Linked DNA regions of Caenorhabditis elegans. The protein of the gene in region 1 purifies or fractionates together with the protein of each later gene. This does not show direct contact. Each region holds a gene or a part of one and is shown on either strand. Other genes may lie near its edges.

Region 1 (4,843 bases):
CACACTTTTTGATATCCAATGTGTGAACTACAAAGTTCAAGTTTTAACAAAAATTAAAAGAAACTAAACCTGGAAACCATTTGGCAGGCGCCTGAGTCGGTATTTCTGAATGGCAGATGTGCCCCTTGTGTGCTCTCTTGTCCTCTTCTATTTTCTATCTTTCATGCCTCTTCTTGATTCCTAATCTTTTGCGAAGGCGGAGGAGGACGATGTGCCAGTTGTTTGGTCCCCGCGGGAAGAAAACAAAAAATAAAAATGCTTGGATTCCAACACCTGGTCGCTCTTTTTCTCTCCCACACTCTCATCTGGTGGGGATTCAGAAGAAAACAACACACAAAAAATGAAGAATAGATGAACAATAAACAAAATGATAGGAATTACGTTCTTTATCTGTTTATTTTCAGCGAGCATGATGGAGTGCCAGATGATTTACTGAAAGTGTATACAGCATCTGGATGTATGAAAGTTGTGGATTCTGTGCTCACTGAAAGAACACCTACAGCCACAATTGATTTTACACCAAACTTTATTGGTAAGCCTTTAATACAACAAAATGTGATATACATATGAGCACTTGCGTACTGTCAAATCAAAAATGAAAACGTTTCTATTTACCCGTTAAATGTTCAGAAAATTATTTACAATATCTAAAAGTGCAAAGAGCAATACCGTTATTCCACACAAAAATAGAGAAAAATACACCAAGGATATTTGTCGTCAATCTTTACTCAACTCTTTTGGGTTTTCTAAATTTGCTCTATAAAACATTAACCATTTAAAATGTAAGATAGCAATAATTTATTTAATGGTTCCATGGGAACCAATGTTAAGATCTAGTTCATTTTGAATAAAATAAACTCGCTAAGAGAAATGGTAAGAAAAATGATAAAGAGTTGAACGTGTAAGACGAGTTTCCACATGCTTTGAGAGGAGTCCCGCATAACTGAAAATATGCGAACTTTGGTCTATAATGAGAAGATTATGCTTACCGTCATCATATCCGAGTAGTTTGTAACTGTCATATTTGAAAAAGCCACTGCCAATTGCGACACTTCACAAGGTTCCGGGCATCGGGAAAGCGGAATTCTGTATGGATCCGATGTAGTCTCATTTCGATAGTAGAGCTGAATAAATTAAAATGAACCATCAGCATTAATTTGAAAGAAAATATAAATAATTTTTTGTTAACCAAGTTTCCTAATAAAACTTATTTCAATTGAACAACTAACCTCAGAATAAAATTTTCCGTTGTCTGAATAAACATGCATGATAAGTGCAGCCGCATAAGGAACCATCATCTCATTTGAAGCACGGAATGCATTGAGAAGTGCAAGAAGAACACCATCATGCTGAAATTAATATAATAGATTTTCTCAGTTTCCATTAGATTTTACCGAAGAATAAAGAAGCATTCTCTGATCATTTCTGCTCTCAGAAACTGCAATTGCATTTTGAATCCAATTGTAAAGAACGGAGCCTCCTTCAAGTTTTCCTTTCTCTTCTGAATTAAATAGATTCATCATTCGAACGGTCCTCATTTCAGTTATAATGTCCATTGAAGTACGATTGTCATATTGAGGCCAGGTTTGTGTAACCCAATAAGGCTGTTTTGCAGTCATGTTATGAATCAACTCTCTTTGTATATCGAATAATCCATTAATATCCATATATGAACAGTGTTTGAATCCTGTAGTTTGAGAAAGTTCACTGAAGAAGTCTGCATACTTAACACTATAATAAGCGTTTGATTCTTGATCGCCTTGAGCCACTAAAACTTCATGACGAGCACATTTTATCGCAGTTGGTTTGCACACCTGAATCAGTTTATCTTAGTAAATGTAGTCTATAATGAATAGTCACTCTCCGGAAATAGAAATTGGGCTTCAAAATGTTTTATCAGTTGTTCTTACGTACTTTCTAATCTCTTTTGTCTTTCTGACGCATTTGTGATAAAACCTCATAAGAACAACTTTAGTTTAAATCTAAAAATCAACGGTTACCAAATCAGGTTCTCCTGGAGTAGATGCATGTACTGGAAGAGGTTGCCAGTCTATATCTGAGCTCCATTGATAACCACCAGAAGCTGGGTATAGCCCGTAAAGAAATGCTTGTGCAGATACCAAAGCACGATCAGAATCGGAAGAGCGCAGGTAGACCTACAAATTTCAAGAGTTTAATTTACAGATATGGTATTGAGTTTCTTACTTCTTTCACTGAAAAATTAGACGGAATAAATGAAGAGTCCACGTATTGGTGTCGGAAGAACTCTCCGAGCTCGTGAAGTTGTTGCATTCCAATCTAAAATAAATAGGTTTTTAAGGCAAAGTAGCGCCAGTGAAGGTTTTGTCAACGTGTATTTGAAATCAATCAGAAAAACTAATTAAAACACTATAAGATATTTGAGATTTTCATAATTTATAGTCAGTTCTAAAAAACTATATCCAAAATTTATAACCAAAAATTTTGACACTTTTCCTGTGATATTTGGTTATTTGAGCGTCACTGGGAGATGTTAAACATTTTTTCTGCTCCGTTTTTTAGGTCACTCTTTATAGCTGAAACAAATTAAATGTAATTATAATTTTATTGTGATATGATAGAAGATCGCGTAAGAACTCACAAATATTCAACAAGTACATTTCTTTAAAAGTTTAATAAAACAAACCGAAGTCAACTGCCCCCATCCCCTTGACCAAGCTTTTTCTGTGTACTGGTCATTTGGATACGGTAAGTGTAGAGGAGCACGGTCTCCATGTCGCCACAGTGCTTGTACAAACTCAAGTTTCCTAGATTCTATATTATTGAACACGGCAAGAAATATGACAAGTCCTTGTATCAACATCATCACGTCGTCTAGAAATCTCTGCAAAAAATTGAAAAAGTGAATACCGGACAGAAAAGTCGCAAAAAAGGGGACGAGTTCTCATGCAGGTCTATCAGGTTACATACAAGAATCGCACGCTATCTGATGACGGAAATTCTGATTCTTTTGACGTCGTCGAAATTGAGACGAGTATGTTCCAAAATAGAGCAAAAGTGCGGTGTAGTTGGATTTAAATAGAAAGTGAAAGTGGGGAGGAGTCGAAAGACTGTTAATTGTATGAAGTTTTGTTATCAGTTAACATTTTACTCCCACGGAAAAAAATGATTTTTTATCTAAAACGAATACTGGGTTTGAAGTTCCCGAATTTGGAAACAAATACGGAGAATTTTGTCGATCGGTCTTGAAATTTTAGTGCAGCAAAAAACAGTAGTGCCCGCCAATGTTCTATTCGCTGGTAGCTTATCGATGATGTTTGTGGTATTTTCTAGCATTTTTTACAAAGTTATGTATTTTCGAATATGCTACCTCACCTAGCACCTCGCGAGTTTATTTATGACTACTACTCTTTGAATCCATGTAACTGAATACATTTTTATTCAACCCATTATAATCAAAAAATAATCTACATACATCTATTGCTTAATTTTAATTGTCATGTTCTTAAGTCGTCAGGAAACTTACATTAGGGACACAATTTTAACTTGCAGAATGCAATTATGATCGAATTGTTCCGAATATTGCTTTTCAGCAAAAAAATTGTTTGAAATATATATATTGATAAAGAAATGACAATAAATCGAAAGTTAGGAAAGATCATAAGTACATTTATTTCAAAAAACGAACAAATACATCCAAAAAATGAAGCTCACAAAATTGATACGGTCGAAAAAACGCAAAAATGTTATCTCTCCTTGCATTTTAATCTTCTTAGACATACATCAGAGCCATGAAGAAAATGTTCAGTATAGTTGCAAAAATAGTTGATTCCACGTGCAAACTAGGCGCATCCAGGCGAGAAATATCCACAAAGTCATTTAAAATTCCAAATTTCACAAACTCATCCGATTAGTACCCCCGCGTTTTCATGACCTCACGTGTTGTTTCAGGAACAAAGAAGCTTGTCGTTTCTGTTGTGAATACCAATACATTGAAGTTAGAACGAGGGTTTTTGGTTTACGGAAAGTCTGAAGCGCCACGGATTACGCAGAAGTTTGTCATACAAATTCCATCATCTGATGAAGCTATTAGAAAGGTTTGTTGAATTTATATAATATTGAATGTTAAAGATTTTTAGTTTGGATCGACAGTAATTTCCAAACATTTCAAACTATTATTTTAACTAAAATAACAAGAATTTTTTAAAGTCAAAATCGCTCACTAAATTTAATTTTTTTGGGGCATGAAACTGTGATTTTCATGATACTTCTTTATTTGGCTAGCATGCAACAGACAACTTTCAGAATAAGGTAAAAAATCCGTTCAAACTAAACACATCTAACATTAAAATAAATAACATTTTTTCAAAATTTGTGTACAGTAAGAATGTTTTTGTTTACTGTTATTCATTGTCATGCTAGCAAATAATTAAAATTTGAAATGAATCAGAGAAACAACAGATAACAAAATTCAAATTTAGACTATAAGGAGGTTTTTTTTCAATTTGAAAACAAACCGATGGACTGAACAACTCAAATGTATGTGTGTTCTCTGTGTTGGTTTCCGAGAACTTTAAGCATTTCCCTGACAGTCCTAATAAGTCAATGAAAAATATTCAACTTCTTAGAGTGTGAAAAATTTGTCGAAGAAGTTTATGTATAAAATAACGAAGTACAACTATTTTCCTGGTAGAATAGTCTAAAGCTCTTACAACAATCATTAATATTATAGAAACTGTTCATCTCAATTGATTTCAATTTTACATAGTTTGAAAAAAAAACAAAGTGAGGTCCTTTAGAATATGGCGTTTTCTAGGGTTATAAACCTATTTGGATATTGTATAATTTAAGCTTATATGAGAAA
Region 2 (7,992 bases), on another chromosome or scaffold:
CGGCTGCTCTTTTCTTTCAGGCAAAGTTGCAAAAACTTAGAATTGTGTATTCTGGTAATTTCTAGCCCATTGTCAACCTATCGACCGAAAGAATGTAATTAGTCAAACATGGTGAAATATATCTTCTAGTTGAAACTGTAAATCAAAAAGTGACATGTAAGCTCATTTTTGTGTGTAACTTTTAAAAAATCTCTCTGAGATCCAAGCTTATTAATAGTAAAACAAAATTAAAGTGAATTCTTAATTTCTAATCAGAAACAGTAAAACAGAAACAATGAAATTTTTCTTGATTTCCTTTAACTCAAATAATAAAAATTTTTCTGTTTCACATGTTCTTTAAAACTCATTCAATTTAATTGTTTAACATTACATGCTTAACATTACGCCCAAGAATAATAATAATTTTGCAGACGTGAATGCAGTTCGTGGAGCGATGAGCACAGTATGGAGGAGAAATGTCCGGTTGGTTCATTTTTTTCTGAGCATCAGACAATTTATATCAATTTTAGATGACCGGATGCCATTTCCAAACCAAAGATTCCACTTTTTGTTGCTGCCAGTTTGATGAGTGTAACGAGTGGAAGGGAGAGTAAGTTACTTTTTTTTGTGAAACTTTTTTGAAATAGGAAATACGAAAATTTTAGGTACGAAATACTTACAAGAATTTTTAAATAGATTCCAAAGAAAAAAAGAAAAAAATATATAAAGATTCATTACACATTTTTAGAAAAAAAGTTGAATCGAAAAATCTTAAAGCAGACTTCATCTATATATTGGCTATTTTTAAAACAATTTTTTTCAGCGGAACCGAGTTCAAAGCCGGAGAAACTAGCTCAAAATCGAAAGCTGTTCCAAGTGCTCCAAAACTCGGTGACGTCATCATGCCAACTGCAGCAACCCGTAAGAATGTTCGTGTGCATTGAAATTGCTTTATAGGATGAGATCAATTTTCTAATGAAATTTGAAAATCAAGTAAAACTTGTGAAACAGTAATTTTTTCAAGTGACTAAAACAATTGCTTGCTGATTTGAACCAAAATGCTGAACTATTATGGTTCAGTTGAAATTTTAGTTTTCAAATTATTTAAATAACACTAAAATTACAGCAAAATTTAAACTTTCAGAAAAGTGAAGACATCGTTCAAATTCCAACTACTGTCGCTCCAACCAGGAAGAGCAGTTTTGTCGAGCTTCCTTGATTTCTTAATAAAAAATTTATTATTTTTCTAATGGTTTAAAATTTTCCCTAACTGATTAGTTCATTTTGCATGAAATAAATGTTCAAAATAAAAAAAAAGCCTTTTAACAAAGTTTTCAAAAAATAATAAAATTTACAGAAGCATCAAAACGGTTCGTTCCAACTCGTACTTCTTCTATAATTGAAATCTCATTAAATTGTGCAAGTTTTTTTTTTATGAAACGACAGTAAAAAGCATACCATGAGAGTGTTATTACATTAATTTTTCCCACGTAATTAAATTTAAACACTGAAACGGTAAAATTTTTTGAACCTGCTAATAATATGTTAAAGTTCCAATTTCTTTATTGTTTTCAGATCACTATAGGTGACAACATGTAGCTCACTCACGCTCATACCACGAACTTTATCATACCATGATTTGTCCATTGCCCCCGTCATTATCTATATATGTCCTGCATAGTTAGCAGCCTGAAACCAATAATTTATGTGTTTTCCCTTCTTTTTTCCATAATTTCTTATCAGTTTCAATTATTTTTTGATCAGAATATTCCAACTGATTAGTCTTTATAAAAACGTGGTCAGTGTCTTCAAATATTGTTCTTATCATTTATTCATTAGTAGTCTTGGAAAGTGTCCGGTTTTAACGGAATACACTAGACTAGGCTATCATGATTTTGAATATATCCGTTTCTTTGCTAATATTTCTGGCGTTTTATGGATTTTCAAGCGATGCAAGTGAGTAGTAGAAGTGCCTGGAAGTGTTTAGAAAAGTTCTAAAAAAATATTACTGTTTCTCACTAGGGAGTGCTTTCACTATACGGTGCGATCGAGTAAAAGTAAACGTGTTATGCGATAGCTGGCATCTTAGGCTTTCAGAATCTGTAATTTGTTTCGGCGGAAGACCTCTGTGAGTCTGGAAATTTTCATCTGAAAATGTAGTACTGAAATCAGTTCATTTCCTATGGTTAACAGTGGATTTTGTCTCTGGCGCCAACAGAAGTCTCACCACAATGGTGGAAGGGCGAAATCATCGCTTCGGTGGTCGAGTGGTGAACGCGTTCGCCTCTTGAGCAGAAGTTTGTCGGTTCGGTTCCCACACATGGTTTAAATTTTGGGTTCTTTTATACAAAATTTTTAGAACGGGAAACAAATGTTTAAAACAGTTTTTTGAGGTTTTTACATTACTTTTTTGCTTTTTGATTGAACCACAATTACCCTGGAAACTTTTCAGAAATTTTTATTTTTTTCGAAAATTGCCACTTTTTTCTCCCATGAGAAAATTGGTTCCAAAAATTTTGTTTGAAATTTTTTCAAAAATGTATGAAATATTGTAGAGTGTCACGAATAACTTATTTTTCATTGTTTTCAATGACCGAATCACTGATTCTGATGCCGTATCAAGACGTTTTACCAAATCGATATTGGCAAAACATCTTGTTTTTGAGGCTCCATATCTCTGCAGAAAAAATCGCACTAAAAAGTGATCAACTAGAAACTTGTTAAACACAATGTGATCTAAAACTTTTCAGTTGAACACTTTTTTGTAAAAAATTTGGTTCCCAAGATATAGACCTTTAACTATTTAGAATATTCAAAAATAATGACGCTCAAATCAATTGGTTCCAACCTGGCAACCAAATTTTTTACAAAAAAGTGTTCAACTGAAAAGTTTTAGATCACATTGTGTTTAACAAGTTTCTAGTTGATCACTTTTAGTGCGATTTTTTTCTGCAGAGATATGGAGCCTCAAAAACAAGATGTTTTGCCAATATCGATTTGGTAAAACGTCTTGATACGGCATCAGAATCAGTGATTCGGTCATTGAAAACAATGAAAAATAAGTTATTCGTGACACTCTACAATATTTCATACATTTTTGAAAAAATTTCAAACAAAATTTTTGGAACCAATTTTCTCATGGGAGAAAAAAGTGGCAATTTTCGAAAAAAATAAAAATTTCTGAAAAGTTTCCAGGGTAATTGTGGTTCAATCAAAAAGCAAAAAAGTAATGTAAAAACCTCAAAAAACTGTTTTAAACATTTGTTTCCCGTTCTAAAAATTTTGTATAAAAAAGGCCAAAATTTAAACCATGTGTGGGAACCGAACCCACAAACTTCTGCTCAAGAGGCGAACGCGTTCACCACTCGACCACCGAAGCGATGATTTCGCCCTTCCACCATTGTGGTGAGACTTCTGTTGGCGCCAGAGACAAAATCCACTGTTAACCATAGGAAATGAACTGATTTCAGTACTACATTTTCAGATGAAAATTTCCAGACTCACAGAGGTCTTCCGCCGAAACAAATTACAGATTCTGAAAGCCTAAGATGCCAGCTATCGCATAACACGTTTACTTTTACTCGATCGCACCGTATAGTGAAAGCACTCCCTAGTCAGTTATGATATGACAAATTGTCATATCATGACTGAGAAACAGTAATACTGGAACTGAATTCAATGGAACTGAATTCTCAATAATCATTTAATAACTTCTATTTAAAAAAATTTAAAAATTCCCATTGAAAAATATTGCCGTTTCCGAGGTATAATATTTGAGTTAGTATTTGTATTACTTAATTCGTGCAATTCGAACAAATCTTTTTTTAAACAAAATGTGGAAATTGTGGAAAGTTGATACAGAAGTTTTACAAATTAAAAATACAAATTAAAACAAATATCGAGCATGAAAAATGCATTTGAAGCTACAACTTTTTAATATTTATTTTCACAAAAAAAACTCTGTTCCAACATGATCTGTTAAAATCCCACACTTTTATGATTCTGTTGCGAACAAGAAAATGTATTAGATATAACTGTCCTCAAATGCGTTTATAAAATTTCAATAAATGCGAACCAAATGTGACTAAAACGGACAAATCTGGACTTTTGCACTCAGAAATCGATTAAATTAAGACCCTAATTCTTAGTTCGGATTCGTCAGTTTTGCTACATCTAAATTGGATTCAACGATAACAATATTTTTTGAAGACTTCTAAAGATTATGTGAAACGGTATTTAAAAAAAAATTTGTCATTTCAAAAATCATTGTAGACATCAATCTTAACATAATTGCCAACATGAAAAGTTTCTACTGCTCCGAGGTAAAAAAAAGTAAAAAAAGAAAAAATTCATAACTTTTTGTTGTTATCCCAATAAAAAATTACTGTTTCTGTGTTATAATATGAGTTTTGGATTGGTATTGAATTGATAATAGTATCTTTTTTCAATATTTGAGCAATGATTTCATTACGCTTATACACATATGTATCAGATTTTTTCAAATTGTCAAACATTTGAATTATCAGAGTTTACAATTAACAAACCTTAATTAATAGATAACAGATAACAGTTATAATTTTTTTTAGGAAAATAACTCAGTTTCAATCTGCTAAATGCAAAATTTAATATTTTTCTAATCGTAACTATTTTTCTTCAAAATTAATTTTCGTATCCTTTAATCTAAATGGGCAGCAGACTGTAAAAAAATTATTTTAGAAACTTTTTTAGAAAAAATGCTTTAAAAAAAGCTTTTTCATAATTGCATATGCAAGACTAATAGAAGAAATACGGTAATTAATGTATTGTATTCATTGCTTGCAATGTGCAGGCAAAACATGGATAAAACAGTTTTAAAAAATTCCGTTTCAACAAATTTATTTATGAAATGTAAAATTTGAAATATGTATTTCGTATGGTAAAAATTTTCATAACCACAATTTACAGAACTGGAAATAGCTTTAGACATTTTCTAAACACGTAGTCCTGCACAATTTCCAAAACCATTCCAACTAACTAAACACAACTGAAGCCAATTTCCAGAGTCCCTTCCTTGCTCCGAAGTGAAGAAAGAGTATGGAATAGTTTGTCGTTGCAATGCCACGTATTGTGATACAATTGAACCACTTGGAACTGTTACTTCTGGGAAAGCAGTTGTCTATACAACATCAAGAAATGGAAAAAGAATGAACAGAAGTGAATTGAAGCATACAACTTCTTCTACAGGTACGTTAATTGTATAGGAAGTTCCATGAAGGCACAGAATTCTTGCCTGCATTCCTGTCTGCCTGCCTCCAGAATACACCGGAAGCTTATCAGTAACTTCTGGTTCGAAACTGATGCAAAATAGGCGGTAGGCAGGCTCTTAGATAGAGAGGCAGGCACCGCTCAACTAACACAAAAACCTTTATAATATTAGAATTTAGAGAATGATATTTTTTTATTTTGAAGTTGGCAAAAAATTATTCTACTGTTTCACAATTATTTTGTAACAATTGTTGATATGATACATCGTTTTTGTAGCCAAAACAAAAGTATATGTGAACACAACTCAAAGTTTTCAACCGGTAATGGGATTTGGAGCTGCATTCACTGATGCTGCTGGAATTAATATGAAGATGCTGCCACAGACAATGCAAGATCAAATTATTCAGCAATACTTTTCCGATGATGGTAAGTTATTTTCAAAAGATTAAGCTTGAAAAATAAATAATTTAGGTCTCGGGTATGTTTTTGGACGAGTTCCAATGGCTTCAACTGACTTTTCAACTCACGAGTACAGTTATGACGACGTTAAATTTGATTTTGATCTCAAAAATTTCAATTTAACAGTGGAAGATCTCCAGTATAAAATTCCATTTATCAAGAAGGCAATGACAGCTTCTGGAGGGAAATTAAAGCTATTTGCAACTCCATGGAGCTCCCCAGGATGGATGAAAACTTCTGGAAGAATGGTTGGTGCCGGAGAGCTATTGGGAGATCAGAATGGAAAATACTATCAGACATGGGCACAGTACTTTGTAAAGTAAGTTCTTATTTTCAAAGAAATAAAAAATAAAATTATAAAATGAAAGATTCTTCGAAGCCTATCACGCTCAAGGTATTGACTTTTGGTCTTTGACACCACAAAACGAGCCAACAACTGGAATTGATCCACTTTGGAAATGGCAAACACTCTTTTTCGATGCATCAATGGAACGAAATTTTATAAAGAAACTTTTGGGACCAGCACTTGCTTCATCACCAGTGACTAAGAATTTGAAGATTATGATTAATGATGATCAGAGAATTAATTTGCCACACTGGCCAAATGTAGTAAGTTATTGGTGGGATAAAACATTGAGTAATAGGTAGAAATGATTGAATGACTAAAAATTAATTAGATACTGTTTCACATTCAAAATAAATATATTAAAATTATAAACAAAACAGTAATCCAATACGAGAAACAAAACCTCTTTTATTTATTGAAAATTTTCAAAACTTTTATAGCTCTTTCCTTTGTTTATTTTTTTGTTTTCTATTAGGTACTTACCGTTTTTTAACACTATTAAGACTCCATTGTAATTAAGTATTTTCGAATTTTTTTCGAATCAAGACACTAGAACGGTTATTTTAATTTTAAAACTCGCTTTCACCTACAATTATTACTGAATTGACCGAATAGTTCAACAGTTGTGTAAATTGTTTTAGAAAAAATTAAAATCGAACGACAAAATGTGCAAAACTGATAAGAAACGTAATGCTAAAATGGATTTGTTGAAACATTGAAACATATCAGATATTCAAAAATTGTACTGTTTCACATTCAAAATAAATATATATATAGAAATTATAAACAAAACAGTCGAAACAAAAGTACTGTTTTTGGGAATCAAAATTGAGGTATTTTTGAGCTTTCCGTAGTCTTTGGTAAATTATGAAACAAAGTGTAATGAAGTATTTATTGACTAATTGTTAGAATTTGAAGATTATGATGAATGATAATCAGGAAATTATTTTGCCAAATTGGCCAAATGTGGTGAGTTGTCGTTTTGTTGAAACAGTTATGCAACAGTAGGGAAAAACATAAAATAATCAAACTTTGTGCTGTTTTACATTCAAAATAAATATAAGAAAATTATTATTGCCATCAATCTTTCTTTGGCCTTGGGAAGAGTTATCCGCAGAATTTACCTATTTGAATTTTTAACCCTTGATTAAAAATCATATCCCATTCCGACGTCCCCACTCTTTTAAAATAAAATTTTAGATTTTAACGGATCCAACTGCTGCTCAATACGTCCACGGAATTGCAATTCATTGGTATGAAGACTTCATTGACCCAGCAACCGTACTCACTGAAACTCACGAGAAGTTCCCAGACTATTTCCTTTTGGCAACTGAAGCATGTGCTGGATACTTCCCAGCAGATGGACCAAAATTGGGATCATGGTCTAGAGCTGAACAATATGCAAATGATTTGATTAAAGATATGGGAAATTGGGTTGGAGGATGGGTTGATTGGAATTATATTCTTGATTTACAAGGTTGGTTTGTGAAGTGTAGCAACACTTGCGATTTTTTAATTTAAAAACATCAAAAACCATAGTAAGAAACAGATTTAGAATTTTAAATCTTTGATATAACTAGGTTGAAACAGTTTTCTAATATTTATTTTCCAGGAGGACCAAATCTTGCCAAAAACTTTGTCGATTCAACAATAATCGTGAATGCAACTGCTCAAGAGTACTACAAACAACCAATTTGGCATGTAATGGCTCAATTCAGTAAATTTGTGAAACCGGGAGCTATTCGTGTTGGAATAAACATTATTGAGAAATCAGTTGATGTTGAGGGTCTTTCATTTTTGAATCAAGATGGTACCAAAACTGTGGTTTTATTGAATAAAAATGAGGTAATTTAATCAAAAAGAGATAATCCAACATGGAATTATTTATAGTTCTAGTTTATTAAATTTTAGAAACAGTAAAACAAATTTTTATCCAAACTTCAGGTACTCAGCTTCGACGTGGC
Region 3 (3,125 bases), on another chromosome or scaffold:
TTTTCTAGTCCTAAAAATTATTAGTCGCCTTCAAGTTCGCCTTCAAATTGATTGTTTTAAAACCTGTTTCAATCTTGAGCACACAATCTCGTCTTTTGTGAATTAGAAATAATAATTCATCAAAAATATAGAAGGTGTTTTTGATCAGTTAAAAAAATTCAAAAAAGAAAATTTCCGCTCTATTGATTTCTTACTTTCCATCACAACATAATTCAATTAAGATAGGGACTATAAAAGTTTGCTTGGCCACAAAATGGCATAAATCGGTTTCAGATAAGACACATTCGATTCACCTCTTTTCTTATTTACTAAACTCTTATTAGCGGTAAAGCTAACTACACATACACGTAATTTTTTTGAGGCATAATTATGTATTATCAGTAATTTTTGGAACTCTAAAGTACTCTAATTTATCAATTAAATTATCTTTCCAACTAAAAAACGACATATTAAAAATCGACTAAACATCCTGTAAACTTCACATCTATCAGTAAAAAAAGCTACGCGCCTCAAAACACGACCTTCTCAATCCCATCATTGTGAACTTTCATAGTGTTCTCACATTGATCTTAAGAACAAATAAACTTCCTGATTGTTCCATTTTCAATACTTCTCCAAATGACATTCTTTGAACAGTCTAAGGAAACGAATCCTCATTTTCTAGTTCCGTGTTCCAACTCTGTAGGATTTTTTGTATAACTCTGATAACAAGAAGGATATTTTCTCTCACTCTAGCCAACAAACAAATGATAAAAACAAAGTGATTGATTGCAAAGTGGGCTGGGCGTTTAGTTTAACCAGCGGAGGTGCTTACCCTATTTTTTTCATTCGAAGGCAGTATCTTCTGGCTGACGACACTATTTATTGTTGTTCCAAGAGAAAGGTTTCATCACTTTAAGATTTTGTGCTTTTTCTTTCAATTGTTCTTCTGAATTTCGTGTCAATTCACAAAACTTTTTTCATTCTTGAAAATTAAATAAAATTTCAGAAAATGAACCGCTTCATTCTTTCCGCTTTCCTCCTTGTTGCCATCTTTGCCATATCCGATGCTGCCGTTGCTCAACAGCAGGTTAAGGTTTGTTGTAACTCCTATTTGAAAAATAACAAAAAATCATTTTCAGGACGGAGAAAAAGTTGAAATCGATGCTTTCAAGGGAGCCAAGGCAATCAAGAGAACCGTTGCCGGTGGAGATCAAATCTTCCACCTTGACGGAGATAACAAGGGATCATTTGTTGATGCTAAGGGAAAGAAGATTGAGTCAACCAATTATGAAGCTAATAACGGAATCCTTATCATTAAGAAGTTCACCAAGGCCGATGTTGGAACCTACTCCGAGCACCCAGCTGTAAGTTTTCAGTGGGAGAAATAATTAGAAATGTTTTATTTCAGAAAAACACCGAAACCAAGCACGCTGATGGATCCATCTCCGCTGTTCCAGGACTCACTCTTGATATCTCCCTGCAATAAACAAATTTCATTCGGAATGTGTTCTAATAATTTCTCTAAATAAAATTTTTAAAACAATTTCGTGCAAACTTTGCAAAAATAAACAAAAATGTGAGTCAGAACAGAAATAGGCGTGACCTCTATTCAGTCAACAGGTGACCAATAAATCAAGTCTCATTCGTCACTATTTAATGGGTTCTAGAGATGTTTTCTTTCTTCATTCTTTTTTCTCTCAAAATCATCTGAGAAAACTTTGTTTCAGGAGCTTTTTGAATTGTTTTCAATAAAAGCTTTCCTTAAATTTTTTTTATCATTTTCAGAATGAGCCGGTTTTTGATTTCTTCGTTTATACTGATTGCCTTTGTTCTTCAGTTTGGAGAAGGATCAATTGCAGTTCAAGAAGTTAAGGTTTGTAAAGTTTTTTATCTGACAATAGTTTAAAAACTGTTGTTCATGCTTCTACAGGAAATTTTAAATGTATTTCTCAAAACTACTCGAAACTTCAAAAGTTTTCTTATTTTGAAATACCAAGTAGTATTTTACAAATTCCATTTTAGGATGGCGAAAAAGTGCAAATTGAACTTTTCAAAGGAGCCAAGGCAATCCAGAGATCCGTTGACGCTGGCGAACAGATTTTCCATTTCGAAGGAGAAAACAAAGGAGTGTTTGTGGATGCTAATGGAAAAGCTATTGACTCGTCAAATTATGAAGAGAATAACGGACATTTGGTCATCAAAAAGTTCACAAAAGCTGATGTTGGATCATATTCTGAATATCCAACGGTATTGAATTCCTGAAATTCCCGAATTGAAAAAGTATTAATTTCAGAAAATTATCAAAACGAAAACGGATCATGGATTTTCTGGAGTTGCCGCGCCAGTTCTCAAACTTTCTCTTCAATAACTTTTAAAAACTGTTTCAATAAATTCTTTTAAATAACAATAAATTGTTTGCAATATTTCGTAAAAACCTGTTTGAAGGAATTATTTAACCATTATTTGGAAAAGAAATTTGAATGTAGTAACTGTTTCACGCCCACAAAAAGTTCTGTTAAAATATCTCCAGAGCAAATTCCGCACTGATCTGTTAAATATTTTCTGTAACACTATTTCTATTTTTACTATTTTTTTCGGCTATTTAAAATTAAACCGCAAGACAAATAGGGAAATTAGTGTGATTTTTAATTCCAATAAGGCGAATCTTATAGTAAGTTTTTTTCTTATTCGAAAGTACTACTTTACTGATAAGAAAATGAAAAATCATTCAACTTGCATCGATCATTTTCCTCGTTTCACCTGAAAATATGACATGAATATAGAGATAAATATGTCAATTTAGCTACAGTTTTACCAATATTCATTGAACTTCACATCATAATTTCTCAATATAAAACAGGAAATTCAGAAACTCATCAATTTTTTCATTTTCAGAATGGTTGCTGATGGTAAGAGGAAACGGCAGTTTCATTCAAGAACAAATGCACTAGAAGTAAGCGTTCTTTTAGTATTAAATGTTTCATCAATTTCCTAAATTTAAGTTTTAAAAATTCGATGATGTCCTACTCCCTAGTGTTTTTAATCTGTTTCAAATTCTTGCTATAATTGAATCCGTTTTCAGGTATTGGATGGTATTGACCTTTCTGGTAAAACATTTGCAATTACTGGAACAACATCTGGGA
Region 4 (3,900 bases), on another chromosome or scaffold:
GAAAATTAGTTTCAAAAATTTCCAAAAAAAAAACTTACCAATCTGAAGGGTAACCAAAACGAGAAGAGTAAAGGTGTGCATGTTGTCTGTTGAAAATACAACTAGTAGGTTGGATATTTATAGGAGATTTTAGTTTGTATGAACAACTGGATGTCGTCGTCGCCGTGAGGGAAACTAAAAGTCATGGGAAGAGGGAAAAAACTAAAGAACGTGTGCTTTAATAGAAATAGACTAAATTGGTAAGAGTTTTATGTTGACATTGTTTGTTTTATATACAAAAGGGAGGCTGAAGTTGGATTTCATTTTTTGAAATTTCACACAGTAGATAGTAACAATACAGACATACGGTAATTTTTTGAAATTCATGGAAGTCAGAAACGGAAAAATAAAAACGTTTTCAAGCTGTTAACTTTCAACTAAATCACCAACATCTTTGAAAATACATACAAGATATCGTAGTCAAAAAACCTATAGCTTGAACTTTTTTCATAACTTAGATACATCTCTAGACACAAGTAGTCTTTGACCTCCCAATAAAGTTCTAACTGCTCATTATACTCCAAATCTGCCAATAGGATTTCGAACACGTAATCGTCGCATTTGTTACATAGGCATTTTGATCAAAGGTTGTTTGTGTTCTGGTTTTCAACTAGCACACAATTTTATTTATTATCTACAGAAAGTTTGAAAACACATTGCATTATTAAAGTTTAGACGCAGAGCCCTGTGGAAGTCTCACATGACGTTCCTGATGGACAGCCGGAACAGGTTGCTCCCGATACGTAGATGTATTGATTAATGAAGTTTCCTCTGAAAATTGATGTATTAGCAAACAGTAGCTTGTATTCAACAGGGCTCTCTCGCACATACACTTTTCAATTTTTTTTTATGTTAAAAATTTTGTCTCGGTTGAAATTAATTTTCCTAAAACTACTTTTTACTCTTCAGAAAAATCCTAACTCACAAAGTGTTCAAGACTACTTTACCAGTTGTCGAAGCACAGTTCACTTTTCGCCAACAACAATATTTTTCGTATTTTTGTATAATTTTTATTGGGTTTTTTGTTTTTAATGATCTCCTCAAAATGATCAAAATTTGTTGAAAATTGCCTAATTTTTTGGATTTTGTTTCAGGGAACGTGACCAAAAATTTATCTTTTTTGCAAACCTATCCTAGAGAACAACACAAAACACAACATTCGCAGACACAGTCAACATAGACTAGTCAACAAATCTCACTTACTGCGGCTTGTACTGGCACACGACGGTTACTTTGTTCAGGCCGTTTGAGTCTCTTCCACAATCCTTGACTCCACATCCGATCAGGTTGGATTTCGCCCACGCCATTTGAGTCGCGTGTCCGATTCCTGTGTTGAAGAGATCGATAGTCATAAGGTTAGACTTCCATCCGTAATCTTGGAATTCTTTTTCCCATGATGCCGACGCAGCAGATCCCTGAATGAAAAGATTGATTATAGAAATTTCAGAAACTTTTAAAATAAAGAAGGTATCAAGCGCCTGCCTCCTGCCTACTGCCAATATTCGCATGTTGTATTTAGGCAAAATTTGAACAAAATAGGCAGTAGGTCTAGGCAGGCAGGCACAAGGTAGACTAAATGACTGACATATTGATTGAGGTCTCCCAGAGATCCACTTGTCCAATACCAATACAAATTCTCCCCAAGGCCTGCATCTCCAGAGTGTCCCGTCGGACACCCGTTTGCGTAGTTTTGGGCGGATGCGGCGACTGCGGAATCCCATTTCTGAAAAGTTGAAATCAAAAATAAATCTGAGAACCTTAGTTATGTACATACCATTTTCAACAGATTTGTTCCCGGCGATTTCTGAGTTCCTTTTGCCACGTAGGTACCTTTTGCAATTTTAGACCGCAGAGTGTTATGTGCATTGATAATTCCGTTTTGTCCGGAAGAGCCGAAATCAGCGGAGCAGCCAACAGCAAGCGCCACAACCAGCAACAAGTAATTCATAATTGGAGAAAAAAGTGCAAGTCAACACGAATATGTTTATCACTGCGGTTCATTTTATAGGAGTCTTATCACGCGAAAACCTGTAAAATTGTATGATAATTGAGAAATCGTAAGCTACGTATGATCGGAAGTGGGCAGCACAAGACCAAAGAATTGACTTTTATCAGTAATTATGAACATTTGAGTCAAGTCAACAAGTATTCTGATTAGGAAGAAGTGAATTTTCTTCCTAATTTTGTTGTTGGCACATAGGCAAGTAGAATGTTTTACTTTTGCCTGCACTTGATGTTGTGTGCATTTTCGTAAATTTTAAAAAAGTTTGGTGTAATTTAAAGTTTTCGCTTTATTTTTTTTATATAATCACCAAGAAAAAACAAATGCTTCATTAGTAAATTAATTCCCAGATTAAAACAAAACAAATAAATTAAAAAATTACAGACACAAAAAGTGAAATCTCTCATTATCCGCAAAGCCCAGAAGCAGTGTCACATTTAGTAGATCCGGAACAGCTGGAACACGTAGTTCCTTCCTTATAAATCGGCCGTCCCATAGTGTTTCCTCTGAATATTTTTGAACAATTTTGAGTTAAAAAAAATCAAAAACTTCAGTGCTTACGGTGGACTATACTGGCAGACTACAGCTATTTTGTTCATATTTCTCATCGATGCGTCTCGTCCACAATTCTTGACTCCACACCCGATGGAGCTGGTGTTTGCCCAAGCCATTTGAGTAGCGTGTCCTATTCCACTGTTGAATAGGGTGGTATCCATTGCGTTAGACTTCCAGCCAAAGTCTTGGAATTCCTTTTCCCATGCGGCAGCGGCGATTTCTCCCTGGAAAGAATTATTGATTTCTGTCCCAGAAAAGTTATGCGACTCACATAGGAATCCAAGGATCCAACATCCGCAGAAGTCCAAGACCAATACAAATTTTCCCCATATCCAGTTCCCTTTGAGTGTCCAGTTGGGCACGTATTCGCATAATTCTGAGCCGACGCAGCTACGGTGGAATCCACGACCTGAAAAGTTTATTGAAGTATCATCATTGGGCTTTTTGTTCAAATATGATTGCCAAAAGTTACCCCAACTTGAATGACTTGAAACTCTTGAAAAAAGAAAACTTTAAGTTTTTTATTTGACATAATTGGGCAATTTAAAACCTACCATTTTCCTCATATCAGTTGCTGGTTCTTTTTTGGTTCCCTTCGCAACATAGGTACTCTTTGCAATAGCGGATCTCAATTTGTTATGAGCATCCACAATGCTTGATTGACCAGTTGAAGTGAATTGAGCATTGACACCAATTGCTAGGAGGCAGAGAATGAAGTACATGGCAAACAAAATTATGATTTAAAGTTGCAAACGTGCTGCTTTTTATGAGAGGAGTTTTTTAATCAAGTACGAGATTTTCAAATAACTTTTAATATTTGCAAAACGTAAACAACAACAATCTTTATTTTTGTCCATTGTAGAGAAAACTCATAAATGATCCAAACGATTTGGTCAATAACAACAACAAATTGAGCTTTTTACGGATATCAAAAAGATCAGCCGGACTGAAAATATTATGCTATCGGGCTTCAAACCCACACACTTTTCGACTCGGCAAATTTGGTAAATTTGCCGCCCACCCCTGGTTTGTACTCGAATAATTACTAGAGAATCAAGCAAAAAACTGGAACAAAACTTTATTAACAAAACTTTATACTTTGACAAAAAATATAGTAAGTACTGATTTCCTCATTAATATTAATAATTATAATAAACTAAATCGTAATTTATCTGTAATTTTAAATTTAACTTATTCAATATTCGCCGACTGGATTCTTACTTCAATCCAGGATTTACACTTGAGGACTTCAAATTGATGAAGTGTGAAGAACTGACAATATGGAACCATAGCTTTACTCCAGA

What was found.
Region 2: the proteins of pho-8 (region 1) and gba-4 fractionate together in Caenorhabditis elegans (co-fractionation; one large-scale study listed by BioGRID). This does not show direct contact.
Region 3: the proteins of pho-8 (region 1) and E04F6.8 fractionate together in Caenorhabditis elegans (co-fractionation; one large-scale study listed by BioGRID). This does not show direct contact.
Region 4: the proteins of pho-8 (region 1) and scl-2 fractionate together in Caenorhabditis elegans (co-fractionation; one large-scale study listed by BioGRID). This does not show direct contact.

Annotation. Positions count from the first base shown.
Region 1 is NC_003283.11:11,831,647-11,836,489, reverse strand, and holds pho-8 (intestinal acid PHOsphatase), read right to left. Parts: upstream 2,872-4,843; 5' UTR 2,846-2,871; coding exon 2,666-2,845; intron 2,299-2,665; coding exon 2,206-2,298; intron 2,157-2,205; coding exon 2,001-2,156; intron 1,815-2,000; coding exon 1,395-1,814; intron 1,350-1,394; coding exon 1,230-1,349; intron 1,125-1,229; coding exon 990-1,124; intron 944-989; coding exon 839-943; 3' UTR 782-838; downstream 1-781. Other genes in the region: R13H4.2 (uncharacterized protein), read right to left, coding at 70-80; nphp-4 (uncharacterized protein), read left to right, coding at 405-532, 3,931-4,076.
Region 2 is NC_003282.8:5,344,715-5,352,706, reverse strand, and holds the start of gba-4 (Putative glucosylceramidase 4), read left to right. Parts: upstream 1-1,809; 5' UTR 1,810-1,868; coding exon 1,869-1,935; intron 1,936-3,285; exon of another isoform or gene 3,286-3,358; intron 3,359-3,777; exon of another isoform or gene 3,778-3,798; intron 3,799-3,985; exon of another isoform or gene 3,986-4,006; intron 4,007-4,145; exon of another isoform or gene 4,146-4,166; intron 4,167-4,411; exon of another isoform or gene 4,412-4,432; intron 4,433-4,886; exon of another isoform or gene 4,887-4,907; intron 4,908-5,019; coding exon 5,020-5,202; intron 5,203-5,490; exon of another isoform or gene 5,491-5,499; coding exon 5,500-5,649; intron 5,650-5,694; coding exon 5,695-6,001; intron 6,002-6,050; coding exon 6,051-6,291; intron 6,292-6,408; exon of another isoform or gene 6,409-6,432; intron 6,433-6,823; exon of another isoform or gene 6,824-6,844; intron 6,845-7,108; exon of another isoform or gene 7,109-7,133; intron 7,134-7,228; coding exon 7,229-7,505; intron 7,506-7,552; exon of another isoform or gene 7,553-7,573; intron 7,574-7,640; coding exon 7,641-7,873; intron 7,874-7,879; exon of another isoform or gene 7,880-7,900; intron 7,901-7,972; coding exon 7,973-7,992. Other genes in the region: Y4C6B.7 (Activin_recp domain-containing protein), read left to right, coding at 411-462, 510-589, 803-908, 1,124-1,198. UniProt on the Caenorhabditis elegans protein: Glucosylceramidase that catalyzes the hydrolysis of glucosylceramides into free ceramides and glucose. C.elegans contains specific sphingoid bases, which are unique or different in structure compared to the sphingoid bases found in other animals.
Region 3 is NC_003280.10:7,210,023-7,213,147, reverse strand, and holds E04F6.8 (Cuticle protein), read left to right. Parts: upstream 1-1,767; 5' UTR 1,768-1,768; coding exon 1,769-1,855; intron 1,856-2,004; coding exon 2,005-2,229; intron 2,230-2,275; coding exon 2,276-2,350; 3' UTR 2,351-2,397; downstream 2,398-3,125. Other genes in the region: E04F6.9 (Periplasmic protein), read left to right, coding at 992-1,075, 1,122-1,346, 1,391-1,468; E04F6.15 (DeHydrogenases, Short chain), read left to right, coding at 2,879-2,935, 3,065-3,125.
Region 4 is NC_003282.8:13,055,809-13,059,708, reverse strand, and holds scl-2 (SCP domain-containing protein), read right to left. Parts: upstream 2,000-3,900; 5' UTR 1,988-1,999; coding exon 1,814-1,987; intron 1,763-1,813; coding exon 1,625-1,762; intron 1,455-1,624; coding exon 1,243-1,454; intron 811-1,242; coding exon 711-810; 3' UTR 647-710; downstream 1-646. Other genes in the region: scl-3 (SCP domain-containing protein), read right to left, coding at 39-81; scl-1 (SCP domain-containing protein), read right to left, coding at 2,448-2,547, 2,603-2,820, 2,868-3,005, 3,151-3,318.